4 linked regions of the Alligator mississippiensis genome follow. The protein of the gene in region 4 interacts with the protein of the main gene of each other region in a biochemical or structural test. Links are inferred from orthologs where the notes say so. Each region holds a gene or a part of one and is shown on either strand. Other genes may lie near its edges. The genes, in order: ATR, CDC25C, DTL and CHEK1.

What was found.
Region 1: of the proteins of CHEK1 (region 4) and ATR, one has a biochemical effect on the other in vitro, tested with the Homo sapiens proteins (7 studies listed by BioGRID, with this or other methods). The link is inferred for Alligator mississippiensis from reciprocal best matches to the Homo sapiens genes CHEK1 and ATR.
Region 2: of the proteins of CHEK1 (region 4) and CDC25C, one has a biochemical effect on the other in vitro, tested with the Homo sapiens proteins (16 studies listed by BioGRID and IntAct, with this or other methods). The link is inferred for Alligator mississippiensis from reciprocal best matches to the Homo sapiens genes CHEK1 and CDC25C.
Region 3: of the proteins of CHEK1 (region 4) and DTL, one has a biochemical effect on the other in vitro, tested with the Homo sapiens proteins (2 studies listed by BioGRID). The link is inferred for Alligator mississippiensis from reciprocal best matches to the Homo sapiens genes CHEK1 and DTL.

What each region holds. Positions count from the first base shown.
Region 1 is NC_081830.1:56,496,765-56,504,711, reverse strand, and holds the start of ATR (serine/threonine-protein kinase ATR), read left to right. Parts: upstream 1-4,944; 5' UTR 4,945-4,992; coding exon 4,993-5,051; intron 5,052-5,276; coding exon 5,277-5,368; intron 5,369-7,947. UniProt on the Homo sapiens protein: Serine/threonine protein kinase which activates checkpoint signaling upon genotoxic stresses such as ionizing radiation (IR), ultraviolet light (UV), or DNA replication stalling, thereby acting as a DNA damage sensor.
Region 2 is NC_081832.1:79,615,491-79,623,334, forward strand, and holds the start of CDC25C (M-phase inducer phosphatase 3), read right to left. Parts: upstream 3,016-7,844; 5' UTR 3,001-3,015; coding exon 2,855-3,000; intron 2,761-2,854; coding exon 2,663-2,760; intron 2,448-2,662; coding exon 2,408-2,447; intron 2,388-2,407; exon of another isoform or gene 1,590-2,387; coding exon of another isoform or gene 1,492-1,589; intron 1,137-1,491; coding exon 1,103-1,136; intron 1,000-1,102; coding exon 883-999; intron 569-882; coding exon 470-568; intron 34-469; coding exon 1-33. UniProt on the Homo sapiens protein: Functions as a dosage-dependent inducer in mitotic control. Tyrosine protein phosphatase required for progression of the cell cycle. When phosphorylated, highly effective in activating G2 cells into prophase.
Region 3 is NC_081824.1:190,023,337-190,030,278, forward strand, and holds the start of DTL (denticleless protein homolog), read right to left. Parts: upstream 3,001-6,942; 5' UTR 2,962-3,000; coding exon 2,889-2,961; intron 2,831-2,888; exon of another isoform or gene 2,663-2,830; coding exon of another isoform or gene 2,617-2,662; intron 2,335-2,616; coding exon 2,209-2,334; intron 127-2,208; coding exon 34-126; intron 1-33. Other genes in the region: INTS7 (integrator complex subunit 7), read left to right, coding at 3,008-3,179, 3,697-3,826. UniProt on the Homo sapiens protein: Substrate-specific adapter of a DCX (DDB1-CUL4-X-box) E3 ubiquitin-protein ligase complex required for cell cycle control, DNA damage response and translesion DNA synthesis.
Region 4 is NC_081839.1:21,788,216-21,795,926, reverse strand, and holds the start of CHEK1 (serine/threonine-protein kinase Chk1), read left to right. Parts: upstream 1-4,708; 5' UTR 4,709-4,809; coding exon 4,810-4,874; intron 4,875-5,230; coding exon 5,231-5,454; intron 5,455-5,490; exon of another isoform or gene 5,491-5,582; coding exon of another isoform or gene 5,583-5,640; intron 5,641-6,679; coding exon 6,680-6,744; intron 6,745-6,835; coding exon 6,836-6,905; intron 6,906-7,711. UniProt on the Homo sapiens protein: Serine/threonine-protein kinase which is required for checkpoint-mediated cell cycle arrest and activation of DNA repair in response to the presence of DNA damage or unreplicated DNA.

The sequences.
Region 1 (7,947 bases), on a different chromosome or scaffold from region 4:
CTCACAGGATTTAGGCATGCCTGTTATTCTTCTGCAAACATGATGTTTTCTACTATAATTCAAATACCCTTTATACATCTTTTTTAATGTTAAGTTATTCAAATTATGATATAGAAACCAAAACAGGTGCTAGGCATTTTCCATATAGGTAAGAGAGAATCCAATCCCAAATAATTTAATCTAATGCATTCATCATGCAAAGTTACAAACATGCTAAAGAACAGATTGTCCCTATTTGCATAATGAAGGCCTATACAGACAGCATATGAATGTAAAGGGTAAAGGGGATAGGAAACACCTTTCACTAGATCTCAATATTTTATATTTTCCTTACTGTTACCTATTCTATTTTGTCCTGTAGTTGAATTTGTACCAACCTGCATTCTGTTTGCCAGTCGAGATGCTTACTCAAGTTACATTTTTTAAATTATTTCTTCAAAATAATTCTTAATTTATTATATTGTGTTTTAAATTATCAAAATGATTCTACAAGAGTTGGATTTATTTTAATGATCAAACCCTTCTGCCATTTAAATCTGTGTTACTTTGTTCTACTCAGACCAGGTGGCACTGAAAAAGAGCTGAGTTTTCCTTGAACAGATATTTTTATGATGTACAGAATAATATCCAAGCCAATGTGTTCAAAGGTCTATCAACCATTCTGCCAACTAGGTTAGCACCTTCATGACCATATATGGAATTAAATCCTCAGTTATCATACAGGCTATCAGGTACAGTTAAAGCACCAGAGCAAACAACCAATAAGTTATAAGGACAGCCTTAGTATCAATAAAAATTAACTTATTGCAGTGCATGACTATTCATTCCACCATCCTGACTGACATTTTGAACAATGACATCCAAGTTACTCTGACTTTAAAGAGAAGTGAAAATTTTCTGGTAAAGGCAGCAGTGATAGTACAGCAACTGTCTTGGTGTGGTTGGTCCTCTTCATATAGCTCCAGAATGCCCACTTTTCAGGACCACCTTTGTCAGCACTGAACCCATATTAACAAAACCGAGAAAATGATTCTGGTGTGGATCAACACTCCAAGTTTCTCTCATAACCAGCTCACAACCAAATGACTAGACTAGAGTAGACCCCAGCTGTCGCTCTTTTGCTCCAAGTCAAAATTAACTTAATTAAAATGTCACCCAGTTCACTCTAAGATACTGTTAAGCATACGGCAGGAAGGGCAATAGGACAGCATGGGATAGAAGACAGAGGATCAAGGGATCAGCTCTTTGGCCCTTATGCAAATGAGAAATGAGGGGGAAGAGAACAGTTCTTAGTGTATACAACTTGTTGATTCTGGCAGGAAGCTTTACGTTTGTGCATACACTGATTCTCCAATCTCACACAGTTTTTGCTACCTGCACAAATCCACACTGACACTGGATGAGGGTTGTGGACATATGGGAGGTACAAAACAATAAGGATAACACTCACTACACAGATATGAATGGATATATTTTCACTAGGAGAAGAAAAATTTGAACTGTGTGTTCAGCCACAATGCACTTCCTCCTTTTGTGCATCCATTTGGGTCATAGTTCTTCAGACAGAAAGAAAGAACATGGGGCACAAAAGTGTGAGACAATGGAATGAAGAAGAAACAAAACAAGGTGAAAAATAGGACAAAGTAGGAAAAGGAGAAATTATATGGAAAGACAAGGAGAAGGACCTGGGAAAAGGGAAACAGGGGAGCAGGAAGCAACGTGGCAAAGGAAAATGGAAGAAATTATCCTCGACCAAAATAAATTATTATCCTGCTCATTGTCTGTTTGCTCTTGGTTATTCTTAAAGGTTTTTTTTTTGTTGGAAGTCAGAACGTATACTTCTTTCCCTGAACAGCTCCCTCTACTGGATACTGAAGCAGGAATGGGTCTGGCTTTTGGGGGCCTGTAAAAAGACATGGGGAACCTCTAGAATTTTTCTCTACTTCAGGTACCACACTGGAATTTGAGTACCAGCTTAAGCAAGATCTCATGCCATTAGTAGCCTTTAGAGATTTTTTAACAGACGGGCAAAGTAAGCACAAACATATTTACCAATAGGGCTTGAAAAAGGTGGTAATGAGGCTTTTGATCATTAGAAGTTTAAGAGCTAGCTTGGGTTCCTGTACAGCACTGCATTATGCCATACAGACTAGGTGTCTGAATTGTATTCCATGTATAGTGTACTTGGAGAAGAGAATCATATGACCCAAAACATTTGTGCCATTCTCCCATTTTGGTTTACAATTAGAATAGCAATAAAAAACCCCAGTACTGGGCCAAACTCCTGGAATCTCCAGATAGCTTAAAGTTTCTCCTAAAGTTACCATCAACTATTACAATGTTAACAATACTGACAAATAAAACTGTCTGTCTGTCACAGGTATAGCACAACAGTACAATTCATAAGTGATTACTTCTGCTTTCTGCAGACTTACCAAGACAGTTTGTATTCTTTACAAATATAAAGGCTAGAAAGCTGTTGGACTTTTAATTAAATAAAGTTTAAATTCTGCAGCACTATGTGCATGAAGGATCTGCCACTGTAATTCCAGACGTGTTCATTCTGACTTCTGGTCTTCCCATGCCATAAAGTGCCATTGGTCAGGCTGCAGTTGGAGTATTCTGTCCAGTTTTGGGTGCCACACTTCAAAAGGGATGTGGATAACCTGGAGAGGGGTCAGAGGAGGGCCACTCACATGGTTAGGGGCCTGCAGGCAAAGCCCTACGAGGAGAAACTGGGGGCCCTGGGTCTTCAACCTCAACAACAGAAGGCTGAGAGGTGATCTTGTGGCCACCTACAAATTCATCGGGGGGGGGGGGGACAGCAGGGAATAGGAGATGCTCTGGTTACCAGGGCACCCCTTGAGCTAACTAGGAACAACGGCCACAAATTGACGGAGAGCAGATTTAGGTTAGACATCAGGAAGAACTTCTTTACGGTAAGGGTTGGCAAAAACTGGAATGGCTTTCAAGGGAGGTAGTGCTCTCCCTTACCTTAGGTGTCTTTAAGAGGAGGCTAGACATACACCTGGCTGTGGTTGTCTGACTCCAGCACTCTTTTCTGCCCAGGGCAGGGGTCGGACTCAATGATCTGCTAAGGTCCCTTCCGACCCAAACATCTATGACTATAAATCTATGTAACGCAGACACCATGAAGCCTGCGTCTCCTGTTTGCTGACTGGGAGCGGCTCTCAAGAGTTAACATCTAATATGTTCAATAAGTAGCAAAAAGGAAAGAGAAACAAATGAAGATTAATCCTAATTAAGTGTTTCAAAATCTTTTGAAATGTCACAGTTCCTTATCATGGTATCACTAGGGCTTTGAAAATACTCGACAAACAGAGAGTTAAATTCAGATGTACGAATATAGGCATGCATGTAACTGAGTGCAACCACTTTTGAATAAAAAAAAAAAAAAGAACTGGTAACCATCACTAACAATTCAATAACTGGAACACAGGCATGCTCGCTCAATTTCCTCATCTGTTTTACATGCAAAATTCAAAGCATCATAGCTGTGGAAACAGGCACCAGAAACAGAAGCCACAGAGAGGATTTTATTTCAGTGTGTGCTTCTCTGCAACACTGTCAACAATGCAGGCAAGACTTCATAAAACAAACACAATCAACTGCCCTCCTCAATAAAGAAAGCCCAAGTCAGGTCACTTCCCTTTAGACAGTAACATCCAGGAGAATATGTAGACATCAGTAGACACATACAAATAAATAGTTTTCTGTGTATTTCCTGAAGTCTGGAAAAACTGTTTACATACGGAAAGGCAAGAGGTGCAAGAGCTTCACAGTCTCAGTCATGTCCTACTGCCTTTCATAAAAAGTGTCTTTAATTTTCCCCCTGGCATGAGGGAGGAGGTTGTCGGGGGGAGATGTCTGACAGGACTGTTGGGCCACTGCTTTTCCAGCACTTTATCCCCTCTCCCGCCTTACCTAGTACAGCTTGTCTTCCGAAGAATGAACTGCACTTTTTAAAAGCGGCCTCTAGTTTTCGCACATACTACATTAAAAGAGCCTCCCGGGAAGAGCAGCGCCCGCCTGGGCACAGAGAAGAGACTGGAGAAGTTGATCCGTGCCACAAGATCCTGCCCCCGCCACGGGAACCCCCGCGGACGCATCTCATCAGGCAAGTGAAGGGGCGACAAGCGCAGCCCGCTCCCCGCTGCCCAGCCTCTGCCCGTCCCTACCTCTGCCCGCAGCTGCTCCGGCCCCGGCCCCGGCCCCGGCCCCGTCCGCGGAGCCTCTTCGGCGGCGGCGGCTGCACCAAGAGTTGCCGGGATCCAGCAGACACCTGCTGTGGGCGCCGCCGCATCCCCCGGACAGGCAGCTGCCAGCGCCAATCGCGCTGGGGTGGGCGGGCCGCTCGGGGGCTGCCGGGTCCCGCTGCTGCCGGCGGCGATGGGGACAGCGAGCACCGCCTTCATCTCCCTGGGGCTCCCACCGCCCTGCCCCTGCCCCGCCCCGCCCCTCGCATGCGGAGGCACCAGGGCTCCTGCGTTCCCGGGGACTAGTGGGGAGCTCAGCGCCCCTCGCGGGGCTGGGCGTGGAGCCGCCTGTCGGCACCTGCTGAGACACCTAGAGCCCCCGGGCCTTAAGTTGCTGAGAGCCTGCCCCCCTGCCACGTGCGGAGCTGCCCCGGCCCCAGCCCCTCCTAGTTACTTCTGGCCGGTGCCGCGCGTGGGGCCGGCTGCGCCGCCCAGAGCCCCCGGGGTGACCGGGACCTGCTCCCGCTCAGCCGGGACCTCTTGAGCTGCCTAAACCCCCACGGGGCGCCCTGCAACCCGCCCATAGCCCGGACTCCCCGGCCCCGGCGTCGCGCGCGCGCGGAGCTGGCGCGTGGCTTTCGTGATGCTCCGCTGCCCCACGGGAAGTCGCTTGTGCTCGTGCAGCGCGCCAACCGAGGCGTGTTGGTCCGCGCCGGCCGCCGTCCCGAGCGCTGGCCCCGCCCCCGCCCCCGCGAGCAGTGGCGCGCTGGGCGCGATGGCGGAGCCGGGGCTAGGCATGGCCTCTATGATCCCGGCGCTGCGCGACCTGGGCAGGTAGGTGCGGCCGGGCGGGCACCTGGGTCCACTGCTCTGTGCCATGAGCGCCCCGAGCGGCCGGGCCACAGCGGTACCCGCGCGGAGCAGCGCAGCGCCGTGTCCGCGGCGGGACAGGCCGGGGAAGCGGCGCTGTGGCCGGGCTCAGGGAGGCACCGATGTTTCCCAGCCTGAAAGCCGGCTCGGGCACCGGGTGGTGCTGACGCGCCCCTTCTTCCCCCGCAGCGCCGGGCCCGAGGACTACCCCAGCGTGGTGCAGAAGCCCAGGCAGATCCTCGGCCAGTTCGTTGACAGGATCCTCACGGATGTGGACCTGGGTAAGGGAAACGGGGCTTCAGGGCGCACCCCCCGCTGCCGAGAGTGGGGCGAAGCTCCCTTGGTTGGGAACAAACCTGTGGGTCTTCTCCCAGCAAAGGCTTAGCAGACCTGAAGCAGTTTATTTGTATAATGACAGGGTTTCTAGGAACACCAGTAGAGTTGAGTGAACTACAACTGTCTAAATAAATGCTAGTGTAAGTGCTTGTGTGTGCCTGCATGTGTGCATACTTGTGTATGCTTTTGCACATGCCTGTGCTTGTGCATATGCTTGTGCGTGTCCATAGATCTTCATCAAGGGTGGGCAATTATTTCGGGCTGAGGGCTTACTGAGTTTTGGCAAGCCATTGAGGGCCACATGACAAGCAGCCAGGGGCAGATAAATATTTATTTTCTAAATGTTTTAGGGACCCCGTGGTCCTGATAAAATGACCCGGCGGGCTGCATTTTGCCCACCCCTGATCTACATGCACATCTGTGCATGTGTATGCAGTGCTGTGGCAAGGAAGTTTGGCTCCTGGGGCAAACCCACAGCAACAGCTCGCCCTTATCCTTCGCACAGCTTGCAGGGGGCAGGGTGGGACACACGTTCCCCTCATCAGTGTTTGTCTGGGAGTGCATGCGGTGGTGGGGGAGCCACCCTTTCCCGTCCCCACGCCTCCCCAAATGAGCTGTTCGCAACTCCATCCTGTTGGCGCCCCTTCGGTTTGGCACCCAGGGCAGTCACCCCATTTGCCTCCAGCCCTTTGCTACAGCACTGCATGTGTGCATGTGCGAATATATGTACATACACATATAATGATGTATTAAAAAGCAAGGAGGCTGCATCATAAATGTGCTCTGTTCGCTGAAGAAATAAATCCTGCCATTCCTTATTTGAACATTTTGCAGGATTGAGTTCTTATTTTGGCATCTTTAGTTTTTAATTTTAGAATGCTGTTGTAACTTATTGTAGCCCTTGCTAAATCAGAGGTGTCAAAAGATCCAGCCTGCAGGCTACATGCCATCAGTGGAGCCACTGCAGGCTACATGCCATCAGTGGAACCATGTCATGTGTCCCATGTAATTAGAAAGTTAGTAAGAGTGAGCAGTGGCAAGATTAATTGCTGTGGCTTGTCTTGATACCAAATTTCCAACCCCATATGCTGGATACAGAGCAGGGAGCTGTCATCTGGCCCATGGGGCTGCCTGTGAGCTAGAAATTTGGTGGTGGATCAAGTGACTGCTGCCTCTCCAAGAGCTGCAACAAGTTATATATTTACCTGAATCCAAAATGACCTTGAATTTAAGAGACCCCCCAATAATTCTCTGTGGAAAATGTATACATTTATTATAGTTTTCCCTGTATAGAATCTAATTATTGGGGAATCATCTTAAATTCACGCCCCCACCCCTGCAGGTGACAAGGGGACAGGCAATGAGGCGACAGTAATGGGGCAGACAGTGAAGGGGAACGTGTAGGGCAGGTGGTAGGGGTGCAGTAATGGGGCAGGCAGTGGAGGGAGCAGTGGAGATACAGGGAGTGGGCAGGCAGGCATAGATTCATAGATTGTTAGGAGCTGGAAGGGACCTCACAAGATCATTGGGTCCAGCCCCCCTGCATTAGGCAGGAAAGACAGCTGGGGTCAGGTGACCCCAACGAGGTGATTATCCAGTCTCTTGAAGATTTCTAGTTGATGCATGGCAGAGTATTGTTTTCCCTGCTGGCTACAGCAGCACACTGATGGCTCATGTTTATACTATGTTCTATTATTACCCCTAGGTAATAATAGTTATAGTTTCAGTCGTGGTGCTAGCAGGGCTGTCCCTAGGGGTGGGCAAGTGGGGTGGCTGCTGTACAGGCCCTTCTGCGGCCTCTGCGCGCTGCCTGCTCCGCGGTCCAGCCACTCCACCGCACCCCCACACAGGCTGATATGCCCCAGGCCCCACACACCCCTAGGGACAGCTCTGGGTGCTAGTCAGTTGAGCACCACCGAGCTTGTAAGTAGTATGTTGGGGATTATTCATCCCCAGATGGAGCACTTTACACTTCTCGAAGTTTAATTTCATCTGGTTCCGATCCGCCCAATTTGCCAGCCTGTCTAGGTCTGCCTGTATCTGCAGCCTATTTTGAAGTGTGACCATGCTACCCAATAACTTGGTGTCGTCTGCGAACTTGGTCAGTGAGCTCGTCACCCCGACATCCAAATCATTGATAAAGATGTTGAAAAACACTGGACCAAGCACGGACCCCTGAGGGACACCACTGACCACTTCTCACTGAGGCGACACAGATCCATTCATTAGAACTCTATAGGTCTTACCCCGCAGCCAGCTTCCTACCCACCTAACTGTCAAACAGTTAAGCCCATAATCCTCCAATTTCCCTGTGAGACCATTGTGGGAAAGTAGATCAAAGGCCTTTTGGAAGTCTAGGTAAACAGTGTCAACCTCCTCTCTTTTACTTAGGTGGCGAGTTACCTGGTTGTAGAAAGAGATGAGATTGTTAAGACAAGACCTGCTCACAACAAAGCCATTGCACATAGACTCCTTGAAGAATTTTTCTAGGATTTTCCTTGGGATAGAAGTTAGGCTAATTGGC
Region 2 (7,844 bases), on a different chromosome or scaffold from region 4:
CTCGGTCATCTCAGACTCCAGGCTTCTTACATCCTAGCAGGGAAGAGGAGAAGAGTTTGGGGCTGCAGTGGTACCCAGCTCCCATACCTTCTCTGTCGTGTTTTCCAGCACCAACCACCAATCCAGAGAAACTCCGGAGAGTAGAGGCAGACTCCCTACAGTGCCTGCGTAGCCTCACTGCAGGGAGTATTTTCTAGAGCTTGCCTGGAGCAGAGTGCATGATCTGCCCCAGGGTCAGAAGAGGAATGCTTGTTCCCACTCCAGTTCCTGATTCTGTACTGGAGTCAGGGCTTCATTTGAGGAACAGACGGTACTCATGGTCAGAGAGGGACGATCTGATCTAGCCCAGCTTCTTCTCCTTCCCCTCTCGTAGGAGGAACCCTCACCCAGCCCGAGCTCTGTCGCTGTACTGCTACCCACTCCGTGGGAGGGAGTCACTGGATTCTGAGGAGCTGAGCTGTTAACTCACCAGCGGAGCAGTAAGGCAAGTCAGAGGATCCATCACTTCCTTATGGAACAGCAAGGGCTTGGACACATGCCATCCTGGATGCTTAAACCAGCCCCCCTCCTGAAACGAGAAGGGTCAGGAGCTCTCAGCTCTCTGGCTCTAGGAGGTGCTGAGAACTACCTTCAAGCCCCCACCCCTCAGGTCAAGAGCCCAAGGCAAGTTCAGCTCCAACCCTGGCATTAAGCAGCCACTGGGCACTGGCTGTGAGGAGGGTCACCAGCATGGTGGGTGGGTGAGAGCAGGAAGGGAATCTAGAGTTCCTGGAAGACTGCAACCCTCCCAAAAGCAGCACTTGCAAAACACTGTCGTGTCGTAGGGAACTCCAGTACTGAGACTGCTCCAGCCTGCCCTTCGCTGGTCCAGCAGGGACTCACCTTTGCCATGCTCATCAGGGGACTGGCCATCTCACTGCTCTCACAGTACATGGCGCCTGGTGTGCTGCACCGTACCTGGGGCTGGAACGGACAGGAGGGAACGCTCACTGGAGACAACTGTAAGCATAAACTCAGAGCTGCAGCCAGCATCCCAGCGCACCGACTCGCCACATCTCCCAGACAGCAAATCGCCTTTCTTTGAAGACGAAAAGGTACTCACCGGGAGAGACCTCAGACACTGCCTCTGCGACTCTCTGCAGGAAGAAAGATAGCCAGTCAGTGTCCTGGCCCCTCTTCCTGGCCAGCTTGCACTGCCCTGGGACAGGGCTCCCATCCCTACCTGCATCCTCCCTCGCATCCACAGAGCCCTTCCCAGCCCCGTGACAGCGCTCAGCGACAATTCAGGACACCTGTGACACCCCGCCCCCGCCAGCAGGATCATGCCATTTTGCAGGGAGGACAGTTTTGGAGGCCACGCCACGTGTCAGCGGCAGTGCTGCGACTTGAACGCGGGATCCTTTCTGTCATCTTACACCCTTTCCCCGTTTGTGCTGAACGGGACACAGCCAGCTGGCTGGAGACTGGCAGGACAGCTCAGAAACTACTCACTCGTTTCTCTGGTTTCCAGATTCTGGTGTCAACCCGAGTAAGAAATAACACCAAATCCAACACAGCTGGCACCCGCGCATCAGCCTCTGTGCAAACATCACCTGTCCAGGTCCAGCAGGTGCTAGACCTGGAAGAGGCAGGTACTGCAGACACCCAACCGCTGCGGGACGAGCAGCCGCTCTAGGCTCTTTAGGAACTCGTGCATTGTCCGCGCTCAGCAGGAGCTGTCCAGATGGGGACAACACCCGAACGGCACGGACACGCTGACAAGCGAGTCAACAGCCGTTTCTGACAGCATCCCAGCCACACGTGCCGAACGGGCTGGACCGTCCCCTGAATGGGCAGGCGGGCACAGCAGCGAACCAACAATACTACCATCTCTGTTCCTCGGCTAACCGCTTAGATGGGCAGGGGTTGTGTTGAAATGAGATTCAAGTAGGAGGACAAGGACTCGGCAGCTGAAAAGCCACAGGCCAACGCTAAAATCAGCGCAGCTGGAAGGTTTGTAAGACAGGACAGCCGAGGCAGAGACAGATCCACTTCAGCGCGCTCTGCGCAAAGGGAGAGCCCTGGGCCAATCGACCCACTGCGAACACGCAAAGAATAGCTGTGCTTCAAACTGCCGCGCAGTGCCGCCACCGCCCAGACTCCCAGCGTCGTGAAACAGGCTGGGCGCGACACGGTCCGAGCCAGCAGAGCCCTAGCCGCTGCCCGGCCAGAGGCAAGGACGGCTCGCGGGACGGGACAGGACGTCCGCCCGGCCCGACCCAGCACTCCTGACCCGGGCACAAGACACGCCCGCCACCGCTCGCAGCGGACGAGGAGCCTCGGGAGGGACAGGCCCCGCTCGCAGCACGGCGCAGGCTGCCGCGCAGAGACCGCCGGCCCCGCAGCAGCGAGCAGCCAGGACACTTACGGCCCCTGCCCGCGTCCCGGCGCGTCCGTCCGGCCTGCAACTGAAGAGACACAAGTAGGCGACACCCGCAGCGAGCGGCCGCGCCGGGCACGAGCCACAGCGAGGCGAAGGCGGCCGGCACCAGGGCGGGCCCGGGCAGCTGGGAACGCCCGGCAGCCCCGGCCCCCGCCGCGGCCCAGCGCGCATCCTCGCGGTCCGCCGCGCCGCCACGAGCGCCGGGCGGCGGGGCAGGGGCCGGGGGGCGGCGGCGCCTACCAGGCTCGGGCCCGCCCGGGGACGGCGCGAAGCGGAAGACGGTCATCTCCTCGCCGGCGCTGAGGTCGGACAGGTCCAGGCAGCAGCGCGGCGTGGCCCTGCGGGGAGAACGCGCGAGCGGCTCAGGGCCGGGCCGGGCCGGGCCCCACGGGAGGCGGCGGCCCGCGCGGAGGCCGGCGAAGCGGCGCTCACCCGGGCGAGGCGCGGAGGCCCCGGGCGAGGTCCGGCGAGAAGGGCAGCGAGAGGTCGGCGTCCCGCAGCAGCCCCAGCACCATGCGGCAGCCGGCGCGCAGCCCCAGGCGCGACCCGCCCCGCCCCGGCGAGCGCCGCCCCGACATGGCCCGCGGAGAGACCCCGCGCCGCCCACTTGAATGTAAATAGAACCCGCCCCCCGGCCCTGCCGCCCCGCCCCCCGGCCAATCAGCGCGCTGCTCTCCGCCCCTCACCAATCAGCGCGCTGCTGGGGGCGGGGGAAAACAAACCCCAGAGCCGCTCTCCGATTGGCTCGCTGCGCTGCCCGCTATTGGAGCCCGGGCGGGCAGGGCTATTGCCATTGGGGGCTTCCGCCGGCGGGCGGGGCTTCGGGCGGCCAATGGCCGCACGCGGGCGCACGTGGAGCTTGTCGACGCCGCACGTGGGCGTGGCGCAGGCGCCAAGAGGCGGCGCGGGCCGGGCCTGGCCGGGTCGGGCGGTGTCGTACATGCTGCCCGTCGCCTCCTCCCGGCCCGCGGCGGGGCGCAGGTACGGCCGCCCCGCCCCGCTCCCCGCGGCTCTGCCGGTGCCCAGCCCGGGGTCTCGGTCCCGGTCCCGGCCGCGGCTGTGGCACAGGCTCCCGCCCGCCGCGTCCGGGAAGGCAGCGGGGCTCGGCGCAGGGAGACCCGGGCGCTGCCCGCCTGGCGGGGGTCTCCGCGCCGACCCTTGCGGCCCCCGGGGGGCGCGGCATGCCCGCCCGCGGAAAGGCGGCGCCGGGGCGGGCGGGGGAGCGGCGGCGGGCTCGGGTGCCGGCAGGCGGCTGTGGGGGGCGCCGGTCCCCCGCAGAGACTGGGGCGGGGCGGGAGCGGCGGGCTGGGTGAGGCAGTTGCGCGGTGTGACGGGTGCGGCTGCGCGTCCGTGCGCCCCGCACAGCCCGGAGCGCCCCGTGCGCGGAGCAGCGGCTCGCCGCGCCCGTAGCTGCGAAGCGTCCGCTCCGATGCCCGCAGGAAGGGAAGGGAGGGAGCGGTTCCTCCGCAGGTCGCCCGGGCTGTGACGCCAGCTCCGGGTGTGCGCCGAGCCCTGTCCGCACCCAGCAGCGGTGCCGTTGCGCGGCGCCCTTGAAAGGACCTGGTGCGCGTGGAGGGATCCCGCGCGCCCCTGGCAGACCTCCGTGCTTCGGGCCTGAGCTCCCGCGGAGCCGGGGCTCCGTCCCCCGGGGGCCCCGTGGCGCAGCTCCGGTTCCGCGTCCCGGACCCAGCGGTTGACTTGGGGGAACGCGGCGCGGCGCCTCCGTCGGTGACACAAGCCCCCTGGACGCTGCGGGGTGCCGCTGAGCAAGCTCTTCTCCCCCGGAGCAGGCCCGTGTCCTCCGAGCCCGTTTCTTTCCGAGTTCGCATGGTCAGCGTCGGGGTCGGCACGTGGCCCAGCCCAGCGCAAGGAGCCGGCTCGGGATGCAGGTGTGGTGGTCTCTGCCAGGGACGTGGCTTGTCCAGGCTCGGGTCTCGGGTCTCCGGTGCTGACTGGGTTCCTGTTCCCCAGATCTGACATCGAGACGGATGAGAGCACCCTGCAGCGTAGGCAGAAGCAAATTGATTATGGGAAGAACACCCTGGGCTACCAGCGCTTTCTGCAGCAGGTTCCCAAGTGAGGGCTCTTTGTCTTTCACCTCCTCTCCCCGTGCGGGCCTGCTGGCTCTGGCCACAGGCCCTCGGCACAGGGGAGACGTCAGAGCTTGCTCCAGAGCAGGGGCTCCCAAGCTGCACCCCTGGGGTGTGCAAGACATGTGAGGGGTACCTGAGAGAAACTGGGTAATGGCAACTTGAATTTCCATTATAATAATAATAATAGGCGTGAAAGGGGCAGCTGGCAGATCTGGGAGGGGGCACGCAATAAGACAGTCTGGGAGCCCTGGCTCTGGAGCGCCTCTTCCTCCTCGCTGACCCTGCCGACGGGCAAGTTGCTCTTCCTGCCCCAGGGGACGGCGGGGCCGTTCTTGTCCTGTTCCCGCTAGGATAAGGGGTCTTGTCCCGAGGTGGGAGGATCTGGCCCTTCCTCATGACGAATGCGATGCTGTATTTGTAGGTCCACTCGGCAGGCAGAGGTCCACCCTCAGACCCCAAACAAGTACAAGAAGTACAGCCGCCGCTCCTGGGACATGCAGATCCGGCTGTGGAGACGGGCCTTGCACGCGTGGGACCCGCCCAGCCAGCATCCTCTCCAGTGCCACCAAGGACTTGAGAGGGAAGTGTCTGCCAGGTGTTTGGCTCCTCCAGAGCCTTCCAGGGGGAGTGCTCGTGCGGCAGGGTGACGGGGCAGCTTGTGCCCACGCTGGGCTGGATGGTGGTCTCCTTAGTGCCGCCTCAAAACGCTCGCTGAGTGCGGCTGCCCTTACACCTGCCCGTGCAGATGGCTCGAGACGGTCAGTGAATGGGGCGTTAACGTGCCCAGGCCTCCAGTTGTCAGGGGCCCACTGAGACTTGGCGCCTTATGATACTGGGCAGCGGGTGCTTTGCACCTCTGGAAGGAGAGGGGCTATGCAAAGAAATCGTGTCGTGCACAGTGTTGGGGACGCGTTCGCACGTCTTGACGTGCACCATGTGCCGTGGAAACTGGTTCCCTGCGTTGTGTGGAGTTACCCGGGCATCTCCGGTGCTGCTGGGGAGGGGGGCAGAGCTGGGGAACGGGCCTTCGGTTGCTGGGTCTGATTAGAGAGCAAAGACTGGGTGCAGTGTCCCACGTGGCTGTGCATCGGTGTGTTCTGGGGAGCAATCCTGCCCACCGTGGCTGGGGCTCAAGGGAGAGAGACTGCTGTGCCTCCCCGCAGCTCTGAGCCCTGGTGTGCCCCAGCACTTGCTGCTGCTGCCTCTCTCTTTGGGGTCAGTGACTGGAACTGCTGTTTCCTTGCAAGACAGGGCCTGGCAGCTCTCTGCAGCGCTGGAGATGGAGACAGACCCTTTGTGTTGCCTCTCTGATCACTGGCTGGGAGCCTTGGCTTGGCCTCCCCAGAGCCTGTCCAGAGCAGCACTAGGAGAGGTAGGCGGGGGATGCTGGTGGGGTGCGGGGGTCCACGGGGCAGGAGGCTTTCTGCGGAGGGATGGTGGGGCTGAGCAGGGGGCGCTGGGGGCGGGGAAGAGTGGTGGAAGGGATCAGCGGGCCTCGCTCGGGGCCTGGCCTTGTGCCTCTCTCTTGGATTGCTTTCCTGTTCCCGTCGGGCTCACGCTGGTTCCCCCTCGCTCAGCTGGCGGCTCTGGGCCCCTCGTCTCCTTGCCTGCCCCCCGAGGAGGATCCCGGCAGGCTGCACGTCCGGGGAGACGCTGCTTGTGGCTGGGGCCGCGTGTCCGGGGCGTGCGGCGCACCCCGTCTTCCGCAGCCGGCTCGGTGGGGGCCGCCGGAGCCGGAGCCTGCGCCCTGACGCAGCTGCTGCCCGGGCTCCTGGCCCCGGGGAGCGGCGGGAGCGCGCTCCTGGCCCGGGGGGGCGGGCCCTTGCCTTGCCCCCGGGCCGAGGGGACGCGGGCCGCCGGCCGGGGTGAGCGCCGGGCCGCCCGCTCGGGCGCAGGGAGGCGGCGGGGCCCTGCCGCGGGCGGGCGGGCGGGCGGGCGGGGGCCGGGCCGGGGTGAGGGCGGCGGTGCTGCGGGCCCCGGGGCCGGGGCGGGCGCGGCGATGGCGATGGCGGCGGCGCGGACTACACTTCCCAGGGTGCCCGGGCCGCGCGGGCGCTGCGGGCTCGGCCGGGCCCGGGTGCGGGGAGCCCGAGCCGGCGGCGCCCGCGCGCCCGAGCCGGGCGCTGGACGAGGTGGGAGCGGGCCCGGGTGCCGGGCGCCGGGGCCCCGCTTGCCCGGGGCTGGTGGCCGGAGGCTCGGCGGGGCGCTGTCGGGCGGCGCGGGGCAGGGACCCCGGCGTGGTGTCGCAGGGGCGGCGGCGGGGATGGCGCGCGCGGAGCCCCGGCCGGGCGGGCCCAGGAGCGGCGCGGCGGGCGCTGCCCCGGCCCGGCCCTGCTGAGCGGCGCGGCGCGGCGCGGCGCGGCGGGCCTGGCTCGCGGGAGCCATGGTGCCGCTGGTGGCGGAGCAGCTGCAGACGCGGGCGCTGGAGGAGCCGACACGCGCGTCCTTCGGCATCCGCCCGGTAAGAGGTTTCCCGAGCGCGCCGAGCAGGCTCAGGCCCCGCGGGACATGGGGCCGACATCGTGCTGGCGCTCCGGGGCGGGCGGCGGGAGCCGGCAGGGCCGTGCGGGGTGGCGGGTCGCGCCCGGAGCTGCGGGGGAAGCTTGCCGCAAACCAGGCGGGTCCGGCCGGCGCCGGGCGCTGCGGGGTCCCTGGGCGTCCCGCGGCGCGAGCTCGGGCCGGGGCCGGGGCCGGGGCCGGGCCGGGGCTGTTGTCTGCGCTGTGGCGGTGGCTGCTGGGCGATGGGCGATGGCCGTGCCTGGTGGGGCTCAGAGGCGTCTCCTTGGAGGAGCGCTTTGTGACCCCCCTGGGATAGGGACGGAGTTTCTTCGGGGAGGGGGAGCCCCTGCATCCTCCCTACGGGGGTGGCCTTTTTGTAACGATCCGGATCTGGTTTTTCTCCCAAACAAATTAAGCACGCTGAGATGCTCTTGCACCCTGGCAAGGGTCTCTTACAGGTCGGGCAGCCTCTGCTCCCTCGCTGCTCCCAGTCACCCCTTCGGTTGTTGCCTTTGGGGTGTAACTGCAGTCGCCACCTTTGCTGCTGTTCGCATTTTCTTAAGCAGCAGCATGAACCCAGCCCAGCTGGGATCGCAGTTGGCCATAGGTCTGCTGCCCCGTCCCTGTGGCCGGAGCAGGACAGACGGGGGCGTGGGAGCCGCGGGCTCCAGAGAGAGGAGCAACAGCAGCACGTGCTGGAGTCAACAAGTTGCTCTGTGTAATGTCACTCTGCTGGGGCAGCTAACTTGCAATCGGAGCGGTTGAGCGGCCATCAGTTCCAGGACTGCTCCTGTCCTTGCCCTTGCCCTTGCCCTTGCCTTGCTTCAGGC
Region 3 (6,942 bases), on a different chromosome or scaffold from region 4:
CCTAGTTCAGATCTTATTCTGTATGACATTCACCTTTAAAGATCTGCTTGGTTTGAGATTCTGTATCGTATAGCCTGACAAAACCTTCTTCATTTGCAACTGCAAGTATGTGCTGCAAATCTGGAGCTGAAAGAGAAAAGAGTAGGATTCATTTCTGTGCATTAAAATAGCTTTCTCCTGGTCTTCTCCCCAAAAGAGAGAGCTACACAAACAGCAAGTGCATAAATCTGGAAATAATTAGCACTTACTTATGCTGTAAATACCTAAATTACTATGCATTTATATAGTGTTTAATGTGCAGGGTTAGTGATAGAATATTAATGGTTCTGAAAGGGGAAAATAGACAGCTAATGTGATTTGCCTGCTGTGTCTCTGCCACTAATCTAAAATTCCTCGCTGCTATAAACTGCTGAATAAGCAGAGGACAAAGATGACCAAGCAGAATGTCTCATCTCTAAATCTTACAGTATAAATTAGGGCTGTTAGTTAATTGCAGTTAGCTTACATGATTGATGCAAAAACAAATTAACATGTTAATTTTTTTTTAATTCTGTTAGTCGCACACCATTGTTGTGACCAGTGGAGTGGACCAGTTGGAACCCATGTGCACAACCTTGACCTCAGCCTGCCCCACACTCACCTGCCCATGCTAAGCAGTGGCAACAGCAGCTGGGCAGAAGCTGCTACTTGGCATGGGGGAAAAGCAGGCCTTCCCCTTCACCACTGCCCAGCCATTCTTGCTGCAGTGGCCCAGAGTCTGGGCCTAGGCTGCCCTGTGTCTCCTCTTCGCTGCTGTCACCACCACCTCCAGGCCATCCAGTGGGGCAGTGGTGGCAATACAGAGGAGCCACAGGGCAGCCTGGGAGTGGGCTCCAGGTTGTTGCAAGGAAAATCGAATCTGGTCATGTCAAGTTGACCAAACTCCCAGGAGTCTTTTCGAGATGACTCAAAATTGGCAATGATTGTGGCCTAAAGGTAACCCCAGTAAAATGCCAGGGAACATGGAACATTTAAAACAACGGATCAATAGTACCATAAAATAAACTGATAACGTGGTAATTTTGGGGAGTAATTAATTTGGGGATGGGAAAACAACAGGAAAATAATATTGTCAAGGTGCCAAGGCGTGCTATTGTATTTTTAGGATCCATGAGCCAAAATATTATATAACAAGCTTGGCTAGATAATGATTATGTCACTAAAGGGTTAAGCAGCCTAAGCAAGTGAAGTCAGTGTCCCTGTATGCTATCTGAACCATTTGCATGAGTTTCTGAGGGAGACATCTGCATGGATCTCTAAAGGAGGACCAAGCCTTTAGACTTGGAACAACAGCGCAACCCAGGAAGCTTTCCCAGAATGACCGCCTGAGGGAAGTAACTCCTGCATAACAGGTCTAGACAGACTGTGAAGTGGTGAAGAGTCACGTTAATGCATTCAGTCTTTGGTAACTAACTGCTTATATTCTGCCAATCCCAGTAAAATTGACTACTTTTGACTATTCTGGCAACCCCAGTTGATGAATTGTTTTGTGCTTAGTAGATGTTTTGTAGCCAATAAAGCTTCTGACTGTTTGTGGGATGAGTGCCTGTGGTTAATTACAGAGTTATCCCCGCCCACAGAGAAGTAGGGCTTAGATGAGCTTCCACCCAACAGGTATGGCTACAGCAAACAGCTCTGCAGAACTCCTTAAGTACCCAGCTGTTTTCAGCAGCTTTTATTTCAAAGGGTGGTGCTTCTCTGATCAGCTACGTGGAACTGCTCATGAGCAGTAGCTGATCTGTGCCCTTTAAAGTAAGTCAAGCAATCAGCTAAATGGCTGGCCCCTAATACAGTGACCCACACTGAATTAAACAGGTTTCAAACCAGCCCTTCAGGAAAAAAAAATCCAGGTTCTACTGCACTAAACAACAGCTTTTTCAGAGGGAAACTGCCATCCTACCACCTTGCATAGGTTTGTTCCATCATATTGTTAATCAGTTTACCTTGAAAACAAAAAACTAGGCTTTTGCACAGATCACGCGAAACAGCGCAGGGCATTTTGGCCTCAGAGCTTGTTCCTCTTAAGTTACCAGTTTTATTGTCCCAGGTGTAAAATGAGGCTTAATTTTTTTTTTAAAACAAAAGCAATAAAGCATGAAGAATAAACATCTGCTCCCCCGCACGCATGCAGCTTTGTCCCTCCACAGCACTCTCAAAAAGATCCCTTACCTGTAGGAAAGGTGCAGCCAAAGGGAGGGACTGGCATCCCCAGCTCTCCATAAGAGAGGTGGTCATCTTGTTGACTGCACTGATAGCAGTCTATGAGGTGCTGGAGGGAGTATTGCCAAGACGGGCCTACAAGGTCAGAGAAAGAATCCAGTTACCAGCCACTCGGAAATACAACCCACCGGCTCTCCCGGGGCCACAGCCTCATAAACAGCGGCTCAGCAGAGGGTCACAGGTCCCCACGGGGAACAGCGCCCCGCGGGTGCGGCCCCGAGCAGAGGGTGGCTCCGACCACCATCCCCTTCCTCCGGAGAGAAGCGGGCAAAGCTCCGGCTCCCGGCACAGGGCACTGGCTAAGGGGAGCCATCCGAGCCGCGGCAGCTGTGCCTGGGCCCGGGGTCCATGACTCACGCTGCGGGCCGCCGCGGGCACGGCGGAGAAGCGAGCGGCACAGCATGTCCTAGTTGCAGCCAAACGATAGCGGCACGGCGAAAACTCCCGCCAACGCGCTACCCGCCAAACCCCGCTCAAGCTCCTCATTGGACAACGCCCCATGGGGAAAGCTCGGCGGCTCCGCCCCTTAGTTCCCATTGGGCGGTTCGGCATAGCGGGCTAGCAAAGTCCCTGGTCCTTTCGGACGAGAAAGCACAAGTCTGTCGCTGCGCTTGCGCACTGAGTACTACCTCCTATCCGGCGGGAGTATGACTCCGCCCACGCATGGCCCGACCGCTGCTGGCTGAGAGGGGGCATACCCATATCCCGCCCGCTACACCCAACCACCCTGGTGGTGGAGTAAGTGCGCATGCGCCTCACTGAGAGTGGTAACTGCGCATGCGTGGCCGGAAGTCGTGTCCTAACTGTGGCAGCCCTCCGGAGAGCCATGGCTGCCGGCGCTGCCAAGTCGTTCCTGGCCGATGCGGGCTACGGCGAGCAGGAGCTGGACGCCAACTCGGCCCTCATGGAGCTGGACAAGGGTGCGGCGCCTACCCCGGGCGCCCAACCGCCGCCTCGGCGGGGGAGGGGCGGTGCTGTGGGGGCGGATCCGAGTCCGCGCTTGTGGCGTGGAGGGCGGGGCGGTTGCGTCGTACCCCCATTGGCTGCGCGCCTCAGCGGCCCGGGGCCCCGACTGGGCTGCGCGCCTGGGGGAGGACAGCCGCCCTAGGGTCGCCCCTAGCCTTTGTGCGGGTGTGCTGTGTTAGGTGTCCCCTTTCCATGCTCTAGTTGTTACCGTATGACTTCGCTCCCGTTCCTGTTTTCTTGGTGTCACCAGTGACCTCCCCTAAGGGGCGCTTAGTTTCCGTGATGGGTTGAAGCCCATGACGTCAGGGCATATCAAATAGGCCTGTTGCTTTTCACTTTCTTCCCTTACTTTATTAGTCTGCAGCCAGGCCCTGGCTCTCCCAGGCTGGGGCTTTTTTGTTCTCATTAGCACTGAGTTGTAGACAACTGTAGATGCTTCAGGAGAGACTAACCATGGCTCATTCTCCGCAGGGCTCCGGTCTGGCAAACTCGGGGAGCAGTGCGAAGCCGTGGTCCGTTTCCCCCGGCTCTTTCAGAAGTATCCCTTCCCCATTCTCATTAACTCAGCCTTCTTGAAGCTGGCTGATGTTTTCAGAGTTGGGTGAGTGGCATGATTCCCTCGTTGCTTCAAGCCCCCGATCCCCAAGTTCTCCCTTGTTTTCTCCTCATTGTATTTGGAGCCAGGGCAGTTGTCGCGCTGTGATTTTCAGACTGTGATCCCTGGAGCATTGCTCGCCACTGGTTCTGCAAAGAGGCTGGGGGTAACAGTGGAGCAAGATGGCGGGGTGGGGAGTGAGAGGCATGGGCAGTGTGTTGCCATTGCTGGGCAGATGATGTCCTGGCTCTGTATCATAGTGTTAGTCTTTGGGATAGGGGTGGGGGTCCCATGGCAGAAGAAGTGATGTGAAAAGTTTCCATGACTTCAGTAGGTTTGAAAACCACTGGCATTGCATTTGTGTTACTGCACAAATGCAATGCTAGCAGTTACTGCATTTGTGTTACTGCACTCTTCTGCTGAAAGAGGATCTGTCTCTGGAGCCTGCCAACCTCGTCCTTCGTGGGCAGGAGTGGCAGTGAAGGATTGAAAGCCATTTGTCATTCCATCCCTTTGCCATCTCATCTACTGAGGATTTGCCTCAGTTACCAGTGACTGATAAGCAGTCGTTGTGGAGCTGCTTTGGTGCAAACTGGTAGTTCTGAGCCTCAGGCCACAAGCTAGATAGCACTGCCCCAATGTTGGATGTGGACTGGCCCCACACCGTTCATCTTGCCCACGGGGCAGAGAGGTTGAGCACCACTGGTATAAGCCTTTAGGATCAAAAAGTTGAAATAAGAGACTGTTCTCCATTTGTGTTGTAAATAATTTAAGCCTCATCTGTTGCCCTTCCAAGTGCAAAATACTCACTGAAGACAGAATTAGAGGTGTTTGGTTGTAGTACATAGATACAGTATATTGTTCTGGTTATCATAATGCTTGCTGTATGCATATGCTGTATTTACCTGACTCCAAGACAGCCTTGAATTTAAGACGACTCACCCAATAATTCCATTATATACATGGAAAATGATAAATGTGTTAATTTTCCCCATATAAAATCTGATTATTTTTCATAGATTTCATAGACATTAGGGCTGGAAGGGACCTCGGAAGATCATCGAGTCCAGCCCCCCACCCAAAGGGCAGGAAGTCAGCTGGGGTCATAGGATCCCAGCAAGATAAGTATCCAGTTTCATCTTGAAGGTGTTCAATGAAGGCACCTGAACGACCTCCGGTGGCAGGCTGTTCCAGACCTTAGGGGCTCGGACAGTAAAGAAATTCTTCCTTATGTCCAGCCTGAAACGATCTTGTAGTAATTTGTAACCATTCGACCTCATCATCCCTTGGGGCGCTTTGGTGAACAAACGTTCCCCCAGATACTGGTGGTCACCCCTGATAAACTTGTAGGTGGCCATCAGATCACCCCTGAGCCTGCGCTTTTCCAGGCTAAAGAGCCCCAGGGCTCTCAGCCTGTCATCGTAGGGTCTGCTTCCCTGACCTCTGATCATGCGCGTGGCTCTTCTCTGGACTCTCTCAAGCTTCTCCACATCCTTTTTGAATTGTGGAGCCCAAAACTGGACGCAGTACTCCAGCTGTGGCCTCACTAAGGCCGAGTACAGGGGGAGAATGACGTCCCGGGATTTGCTTGAGAAGCATCTATGGATGCAAGCCAGCGTTTTGGTCGCTTTACTAGCCACAGCATCGCATTGCAGGCTCATGTTCATCTTGTGGTCAATGATGACCCCCAAGTCTCTTTCTTGCATAGTGCTAGCCAACATAGCACTGCCGAGCCTATAAGGATGCTGCGGGTTTTTTTTCCCCAAGGTGGAGAACCTTGCATTTATCGGCGTTGAACACCATCAGATTCTCATCCTCCCACTTGCTGAGCCTGTCCAGGTCAGCCTGGATCACCCGCCTGTCTTCTGGTGTGGATGCTTTGCCCCAAAGTTTGGTGTCATCAGCGAACTTGGCCAGTCCGCTTCTGACTCCAGTGTCCACATCGTTAATGAAGATGTTGAACAGTATGGGTCCAAGGACAGAGCCCTGGGGGACCCCACTGGTCACAGGACACCACGATGAGTGACTTCCATCAATTACTACCCTCTGGGTCCGACCCCAGAGCCAATTTTCCAGCCAGTGGATCGTGGAGGACCCAACGCGACAATTGGCCAGCTTCTCCAAGAGACGATCATGGGACATCAGATCGAAGGCTTTTTTGAAGTCAAGATATATGACATCAATCTCATCTCCCTTGTCCAGGTGATAGGTCACCTGGTCGTAGAAGGAAATTAGATTGGTCAAGCAAGACCTACCCGCAACAAACCCGTGCTGGCTATCCCTTAAGATGTTGGCGTCGGCCAGTCCATTAAGGATGGCCTGTTTAATAAACTTTTCTAAGATCTTCCCCGGGATAGAAATCAGGCTGATGGGCCTATAGTTAGCCGGATCCACTTTCCTCCCTTTCTTGAAGATAGGCACCACATTGGCCTTCTTCCAGTCTTCGGGCACTACACCAGAGCGCCAAGAGTTTTCAAAGATCCGCGCTAGAGGCTGGGCTATGATGCTCGCCAGCTCCTTGAGTACCCTGGGGTGAAGATTGTCAGGGCCGGCTGACTTGAAGGTATCCAGCTTCTCAAGATGTTCCTTCACGAAGTCAGCATTAATGGAGGGCAGGGGATCACCCTCACCCGGACTTCCCGGCCCAGTAGCGGGCATGGGCGTCCCATGGGACTGATGAAAGACCGACGCAAAGTACCTATTTAATAGGTTGGCTTTTTCCTGGGCGTCAGTTGTCAGTTGCCCCATCTGGTTCAGCAGGGGTCCAACGTTGCCCCTGCTTTTCGTCCGGCTCCCCACATATCGGAAAAAAGGACTTTTTATTGTCCTTGATGCTCAAAGCTAGCTGGAGTTCAGTTGCAGCCTTGGCTTTCCTGGTCTGCTCCCTACAGGACCGGACCAGTGCAGAATAATCCTCCTTGGAGGTGACTCCCATCCTCCATCCTTTGTAGGCCTTTCTTTTTAGCCTCAGGAGGTCTGCTAGGTCCCTGGAGAGCCAGGGGGGCTGCTGTGCCCTCTTGCTGCCTTTCCTGCGAGATGGAATAGACTTAGTTTGTGCATTGAGGATCGCTCCCTTGAGGAGCAACCACTCTTCTTGAACTCCCCTCTCCCTGTGGTCACAG
Region 4 (7,711 bases):
TTGCTGATGTTGCAATCCATCCCAACTTCCAGATCATTAATGAAGATATTGATCAAAACTGACCCCAGGACTGACCCCTGGAGTACTCCACTTGATGCCAACTATACATCGAGCCATTGATTGCTACCTGTTGAGCCTAATGGTCCAGCTAGCTTTCTACCCACTTGACACTTTTCATCCAACCCATGCTTCCTTGACTTGTTTTTCAAGAATGCTGTGGGAGACTGTATCAAAATCCTTGCTAAAGTCAAGGTATATCATGTCCACTGCTTTCCCTGCATCCACAGAGCCACTCATCTCATAGAAGGCATTCAGGTTGGTCAGACTTGACTTGCCCTTGGTGAATCCATGTTGATTGTTTCTGATTACTTTTTTCTCCTCTAAGTGCTTAAAAATGGATTCCTTGAGGCCTTTCTCCATGATTTTTCTGGGGACTGAAGTAAGGCTGACTGGTCTGTAGTTCCCTGGATCCTGCTTCTTCCCCTTCTTAAAGATGGGCACTCTATCTGCCAATCGTTTGGGACCTCCCCCGATCGTCACAAATTTTCAAAGATAATGGCCAGCAGCTCTGTAAACATATCAGCCAACTCCCTCAGCACTCTCAGATGTATTGCATTCAGCCCCATGAGCTTGTACGCATCTGTTTTTTCTAAATAGGTCCTAACCCATTCTTTCACCACTGGGGGCTGCTCACCTGCACCCCAAACTGTGCTGCCTGATGCAGTAGTCTGGGAGCTGACCTTACCTGTGAAGACTTGAGGAAAAAAGGGATTGAGCACTTCAGCCTTATATCATATGTCACTAGGTTACCTCCCCTATTCAGTAAGCGACCCACATGTTCCATGACCTCCCTCTTGTTGCTAACGTGCTTGTAGAAACCCTTTTTGTTACCCTTCCTGTCCCTTGTTAGCTGCAACTCCAACTGTGCTTTGGCCTTCCTGATTTTATCCCTACAAGCCCAAGCAACACTTGTACTCCTTCCTAGTCATCTGTCCAAGCTTCCACTTCTTGTAAGCTTCCTTTTTGTGTTTAGGCTCACTGAAGAGTTGCCTGCTAAGCCAAGCTGGTCGCCTGCCATATTTGCTATTCTTCCTGCAGTTCGGGGTGGTTTGTTCCTGTGCTCTCGGTGAGGTTTTCATTACAATACAACCAGCTCTCCTGGACTCCTTTCCCCCCTCAGACTGCCCCCCCCCCCCCCCCCCCCCCCATAGGATCCTGCCCATCAGTTCCCTGAGGGAGTCAAAGTCTGCTTTGAAGTCCAGGGTCCATACTCTGCTGTTCTTCCGAGCCCTCCTCTCCTTCCTTTTGTCAGGATCCTGAACTTGATTATCTTGTGGTCACCGCTGCCCAAGTTGCCATCCACTTCTGCATCCCCCACCAATTCTTCCCTGTTTGTGAGCAGCTGGTCAAAAAGATCATGGCTCTTGGTTGGTCTCTCCAACACTCGTACCAAGAAGTTGTCTCCAAAAACTTCCTGGATTACTGATGCCCTGCCATATTGCCCTCCTAGTTCCCCATGAGAACCAGGGCCTATGATCTGGAAACTTCTGCTAGTTGTCCAAAGAAAGCCTCATTTATTTCATCCTCCTGATCTGGTCATCAAAAACTTAGGGAACTGAAGTCCACTCCATGACTGGGTAGACAGGGTTCTTTAAGACTGGTTGACAGTCAGTCTAGGACTGGAGCCTCGATTGAACAAATGGACGATCTCTGTTCCAGCAGCTCCTGCGGCCCAGCTGGTTCCAAACATACTGCCGCCTGCCTCTCCTTTAGCGTAAACCAGCAAGGCTGGGAGGAGAGGGGGACGCTAGTGTGTGGACAGCTCAGTGTCTCCATATACACCGCCCAGGCTTGTGCACCTTGGAGAGATCACTTCAGCTTCACTTTATCTTAGCTTATGCAGGGGGTCGGACTCGATGATCTATTGAGGTCCCTTCCGACCCTAACATCTATGAATCTATGAATCTTTCAACCACATATTACTTTCAGCAACCTAATGTCTTGGCATAATTCTATTGTCTTGTGAGATTGGCTAATAGTTCCAAATGAATAACTTCACACGTTCACAGTGAAAAGAGATGGCAGGTGCTTATCCAAAAATCCTTATATGGGCCTATATTTCTGCCTGAGAAGACTGTTGCATGTTTAATAAGAAAAATGGATGAAAAACCATACTGTAATTCTTAATGTGGTTTAAACCCAAACCAAGTTGTCAAATAATGCCATTATGTCCCCATTCTTTCAAATAGGTTCCATGCTCATAGTGATATGTATTAAAAATTCATATTTCTATGCATGTGTATCCCTGATTAAGTTCTGTATGTTTGACTAAAGTAATGTTCCATAGTGAAAACTGTCATTTCACTTCGTCTGCCTACCCTCATTAGTAAGCAGAGGGTATAACTGTCTGAAGGGCTACTTGAGAAACAGGGCCTCCAGGGTGGGTCTCCCTACCCAGAATTTACTACTAAACCGGTACACGTGGTATAGCTCCTGGATGGCAGCCCTGGGTGAGATCCCTTCCCACGTCACTGGGCCAGGTAGTAGTTCCCCAGGTTGGTTTACTGCTAAGATTGTGATCAATTTTGAGGTACAGTTAAAGGTTAATAGTTAACATTTTGCTTAGGGTGTCCCCTTGTTCCCTTTTTCCCTTGTAATAAATCTGTTTTAATTTAACATTTGCTTGCAAATGGGCAGGTTTTGTTCATGGTAGAACACCCAGTACACATTTACTTTACCAAATTTCTGGGTTGGGGCTTGAGGTAAATTTGAAAAGTTGGTATAAAACCCCTATATTTGTATGCAGCCATTCTTACTGCTGTCTAGCACCTGGCGAAACAGCAATGTGCAGGCCTTACAGGGTGGGTATCAATTGGCAGGCTGGTACTCAAAAACCAAGCTTCAAGTTCAAGCAATGACCTGCCTAGGCTTCTTTAAGAGAGTCCCTTGGTGGTGGTGATGTGGGTTTTGGGGTGATCTAAAGTGGGTTTTGCCCCATAACTCCAGCCCAAAATAAGATATTTGTATAAAGCAATGTACCTAGCATGCAGGTACTGGCAGGTGGGTGGCAGGTGGGAGGCTGGCACTCAAACCAAACATTGGGTCGAGCATGGACTAGCTCAAGCTTCTTCTAGAGAGTCTCTGGGTGGTGAAGAGGAGTGTTTTGGGGTGCTCCAAAAAAGATTTTGCCCTATAATCCCAGCCCAAAGTCAGCTTCTTATTCACAGGAACATACATAGCACACAAATCTGGGAGGCTGTCGGTTGGCAAGCTGGTGCGCAAAAACTGAGCTGTGGGTCAGGTAGTGCTCTGCCCAGGCTTCTTCAGGGGAGTCCGCTGGTGACAGACGTGTGTTCTTGGGTGACGGGGAGAGGATTTTACCTGATATCCCCAGCCCAAATTCAGTTTCATATTCAGGGCTAGGTACAGAGGACATGGGCTTGGGGCCTCAGTTGTCAGGTTAGCACTTGCAAACTGAGCCTTGGGTCGGGCAGGCTCTACCCAGGCTTCTTCAGGAGAGTCCCCTTGAAGGCAGAGACATTTGTCTGGGGTGACTCAGAGAGGTTTTCCATCAGTAATCCCAGCCCAAACCTAGCTCCTTATTCAGGCCTGGGGGCCTGTCTAGGCAGCCTGGCACACAGAAACCAAGCTTCGGGGTGGGTAGGACTCTGCCCAGGCTCCTTGGGAGAGACCTCCTAGGGTGGGGACGTGTGTTGGGGGTGATCCAAGAAGGATTTCCACCCATTATCCTAGCCCAAACCCAGTTCCTAATTGAGGCCTGTGAGTGGGCAGCTTGGCCTGCAGAAACCCAGCTTCGGGCCGGGCAGCGCCCTGCTCAGAGCTGTCCCCTGGTGCCATAGGCGTGTTTTGTGGTGGCCCGAAAGGGATTTGCCACAGCCTAATTTCAGGGCTATGTACTTGATGCATGATATTATTTTACAGTTTTATTAGCAACTATCCATTGATGAAGTCCTGATTCTTCAGTCAGCATCATTCATGACTAACAACCTTGAACAGTGTAAGGATTCGCTTTGAAATGGGACCTGGGAACAAGTAGGGCTGCCAACTCTGCTTGAACCTATTCCGAGAGGTTTCTGGGCCGCCGCCATGCCCGCGACATGCGCCGCCCCGCATGCTGCTGTACATCGGTTACGGATGACGGCACGTGGACTTCACCTCAGGAAGGCAAACGCACCTTACTATTACGTTTTAAAAAGCCACCGGACCGCGAAGAGCGCGCGCCTTCGGAGGCTGGGAGGTGGCAGCGGTGTCGGGGGCGGTGAGTGGGGACTGCCTACGGTGTGTCAGTGTCCAGGGGCCCGTGAGCTGCCAACCTCAGGGGGCACGTGCCCCCCCCACGCGTTGCCTATGCAGTGGCCGACGGTAGAAACAGGATTTCACATGTAATATTCATTTTAATGGAGGCCCATCCCTAGGTCTCCGGGTGGCTTTCAGCGCTCTGCCGGGCACGGGTTTCTAGCTCCTGCAGACCCCGGGGTAATCCTGCAGGTTTGGCGACGCCCGAAATAAGGAACCGGCTTCGCTTCCCGCCAGCCCGGGGAGATGGAAGGGGGCGGGACCCGGCCGGGGGCGGGGCGGGGCGATGGAAGGGGCGTGGCCCTGGCCGGCCGGGGGGCGGGGCGGACGGAAGGATGCGGCGGCGGGCGCCGCCATTGGGCGGGAATCGCGGAGCGGGCGCTCGGGGTGGGGGCGGGGCTGTGCTGCGCTCCTCTCGCCGTACCGTGCCGTGCCGTGCCGGGCGGGTTGGTCTGGTCCGGTCCGGTCCGGGTCCGGGCGCCGCCGGCCGCCATGGCCGTGCCCTTCGTGGAGGACTGGGACCTGGTGCAGACGCTGGGCGAGGGCGCCTACGGAGAGTGAGCGCGGGGGCGCGCGGGCAGAGGCCGGTGTCCAGCGGGAAGCGGGCGCTGTCAGGAAGGAAGACATGAGGCGGGGCGGGGCGGGGAGCGCGGGCGGCCGGCGGTGGCTCTGCGCCGCTGACGGTGGCGGAGACAGACCCCTTGGGCTGAGGTGGGGTGTAGCCGGTCCGACCCCGCGGCCGTGTGTGTGTGTGTGGGTGTGGGTGTGGGTTCCGGCCGGGCGCTGCGCGGGGACCGTGTGTGTGTGTGTGTGTGTGTGTGTGTGTGTGGGGGGGGGTTGTGGTTCCTGCCGGGCGGGGAGGGGGGCCTGCTCGAGTTGAGGCTCATGAGGGATGTTTCTCGTTTCCCTGCAGGGTTCAGCTGGCCGTCAACAGGCGCACGGAGGAAGCCGTTGCCGTCAAAATAGTTGATATGAAACGTGCTGCCGACTGTCCAGAAAACATCAAGAAAGAAATTTGTATTAATAAGATGCTCAATCATGAAAACATCGTGAAGTTCTACGGGCACCGGCGAGAAGGCCACGTCCAGTACCTCTTCCTCGAGTACTGTCGAGGGGGGGAGCTCTTCGACAGAATAGGTAGAGCACATCGAGCGGCTTCCCGCGCCGCCCGCACGCGCCGATCTGCCTTCCCGCGCCCCCCAGCTTGCCACGCGCGGGGTGTTTAGCTGGTGTGTCCTCCTGGCAACATGTAGATCCTGCTTAGCATGAGTTTGTGCGCCTCAAGGAAGTCTCCATCGAAATTGGCAAGAATTTCTGTACACGGTTAAGTTCACATCTGTCAATTATTGCTTAATCCCACTAGAAGTTCAGCGTCATGGTTTTTCACGGGGAGAGATAATTTAAACAAGTAAACTATGCCGACTTGAGAAATTCACTCAGCTGGGATTAATAAGGCCAGTGTTTCCAGTTTCTATATATTCTGATATTTCATTTCAAAGGAAAAAAACCTAGTCCTTATGGTTGCAAAAGTCAGTCTTCTGAAAATAAACAGGGTGAAGTGAGATACAGACGTCAAGAAAATATGCTCGTATGTTAGACTTCTAGTGCCTTTGCTGCAGCTCTTGGCTTTCCACCGAACCGATGTGTCAGTCTTAATTATTACTATTTGCGTTCTAATGAGCAGCAGTAGAGCCAGAAGGAAATTGGTTTCATTCTACTGTTGGAAAGATCTGAGCAACAGTTAGGTACCAGAAATGTCGATAGTTTTTGCACAGGATAGTTTTGCGTAAGCAGAACCTGGCGACTTGTTTAGGCAGTGGTCATCAGCAACCTTTAGGCTGCAGGCTGGAGTGACCCAGTTCGGGTCAGAGGTGGGTGTAGGGGCAGCTGAAGCCACCTGCTGCTGAATCCTGCTGAAGCTTCATCGTCCTGGGCTGTCTCAGATGGCTCTGTGAGCCACAGATGCTCACCCCTGCTTGTAGATGTTGGGGGCAATATCTTGCATTAGCCAAAAGGATGGCGATATGGAGGCTTGCTTCTAAGGTTAATGGGAGCTGCCTTATTGCTTGTCTGCCCTTGGACAAGAGGTCATCCAGCTCTTGTATAGGTCTCTTGATAACTCTGCCAATTAGTTTAGTGTTAAAGCTTCTGTGCCCTTTGTGGAAGGAGGAGGAGGGAGATGAATTTGGGGGTTGAAAGCTTCTGAGGGGGGAAAGAGACGATATGGAAAGGAACAAACAAATATATTAGAGGACAGAAACATTGGCAAGATACTCTTTTCCCTATCATGTTTGTTTGTGATGCTAGAAGTGTGTGGATCTTTTTTTTTTTTGTTAAGTGGATTCTGAATGACTTTTTTCAGAGCCTGATGTAGGAATGCCTGAATCAGATGCACAGAAGTTTTTCCATCAGCTTATTGCTGGGGTGGTAAGTATTTGCCTTCTACATTTATTTAAAACTTTCATTTGGGATCATATAAATCATAAGATTCAAGATTCTCTCTCTCTTTCTTTTTAAGGTGTATCTCCATGGTATAGGTATAACCCACAGAGATATTAAGCCTGAGAATCTATTGCTAGATGACAGAGGTACGTCTAGAGCTAGTTATTTTGTTTTCCCTTTAAATTTTGGTGGTTAGGTGTACAAGGGAAGAAGAAAGTCTGTGTCTGTTGGTGAAACTGAAAACACTTCAAGCTTTCTGAGGATGCTGCAGGCTTAAGAGCAATCTAGTTGAGCAAAAGTTGATTCATGCTTCCAGGACTTGCATTCATTCCCCTGCCCACATGCAAATTTGGTAAACCTGTCTAGGTGTTCTGGAGCAGAGGCTGGTCTCTGCAGAGATGCCGGCACCTTTTCAAAGAACATTCCTATGGAAAAATGATACCTTCTTGAAAAGCTGTTTCTACAGAATTTGAGGAGTGATAGAAATGCTTCTAGGACCTTTGGGTAAAGCTTTTATTAAAACTTTTTAAAACAAAAATATTTCTTGTAGGGTCCTAGAACCAAAATATTACAGTATGGATCTAGGATCTGAGAAACTGGAATAGACTAATGATGTGGATCCTTCCTCTGCTTTGCCAGAACATTGTGTGATCAGGTTACAGTGGAAAGAAAAAATAGCTTTCCACAATTTTAATTTTAATAATCGAAGATGACATTGGGGTGGGGGAACGGACTTTTAAAAACAGCCGTCTTTCCTGGCTGTTCCTTCTAAAACAAGAAATCTCTGCGTAAACTGTTAGTATTTTTTCCTTATAACACAGCTGTGTCTGGATCAAGTGTTTTGTTTCAGGCTTCAGGTCATTTGTTCAAATTTCCTGTGGTCTATAACCAAAAAAATGAATATATCTGATCTTTATTTATATCAAGGTCCCTCTTTGCTTATCTGGCAAAA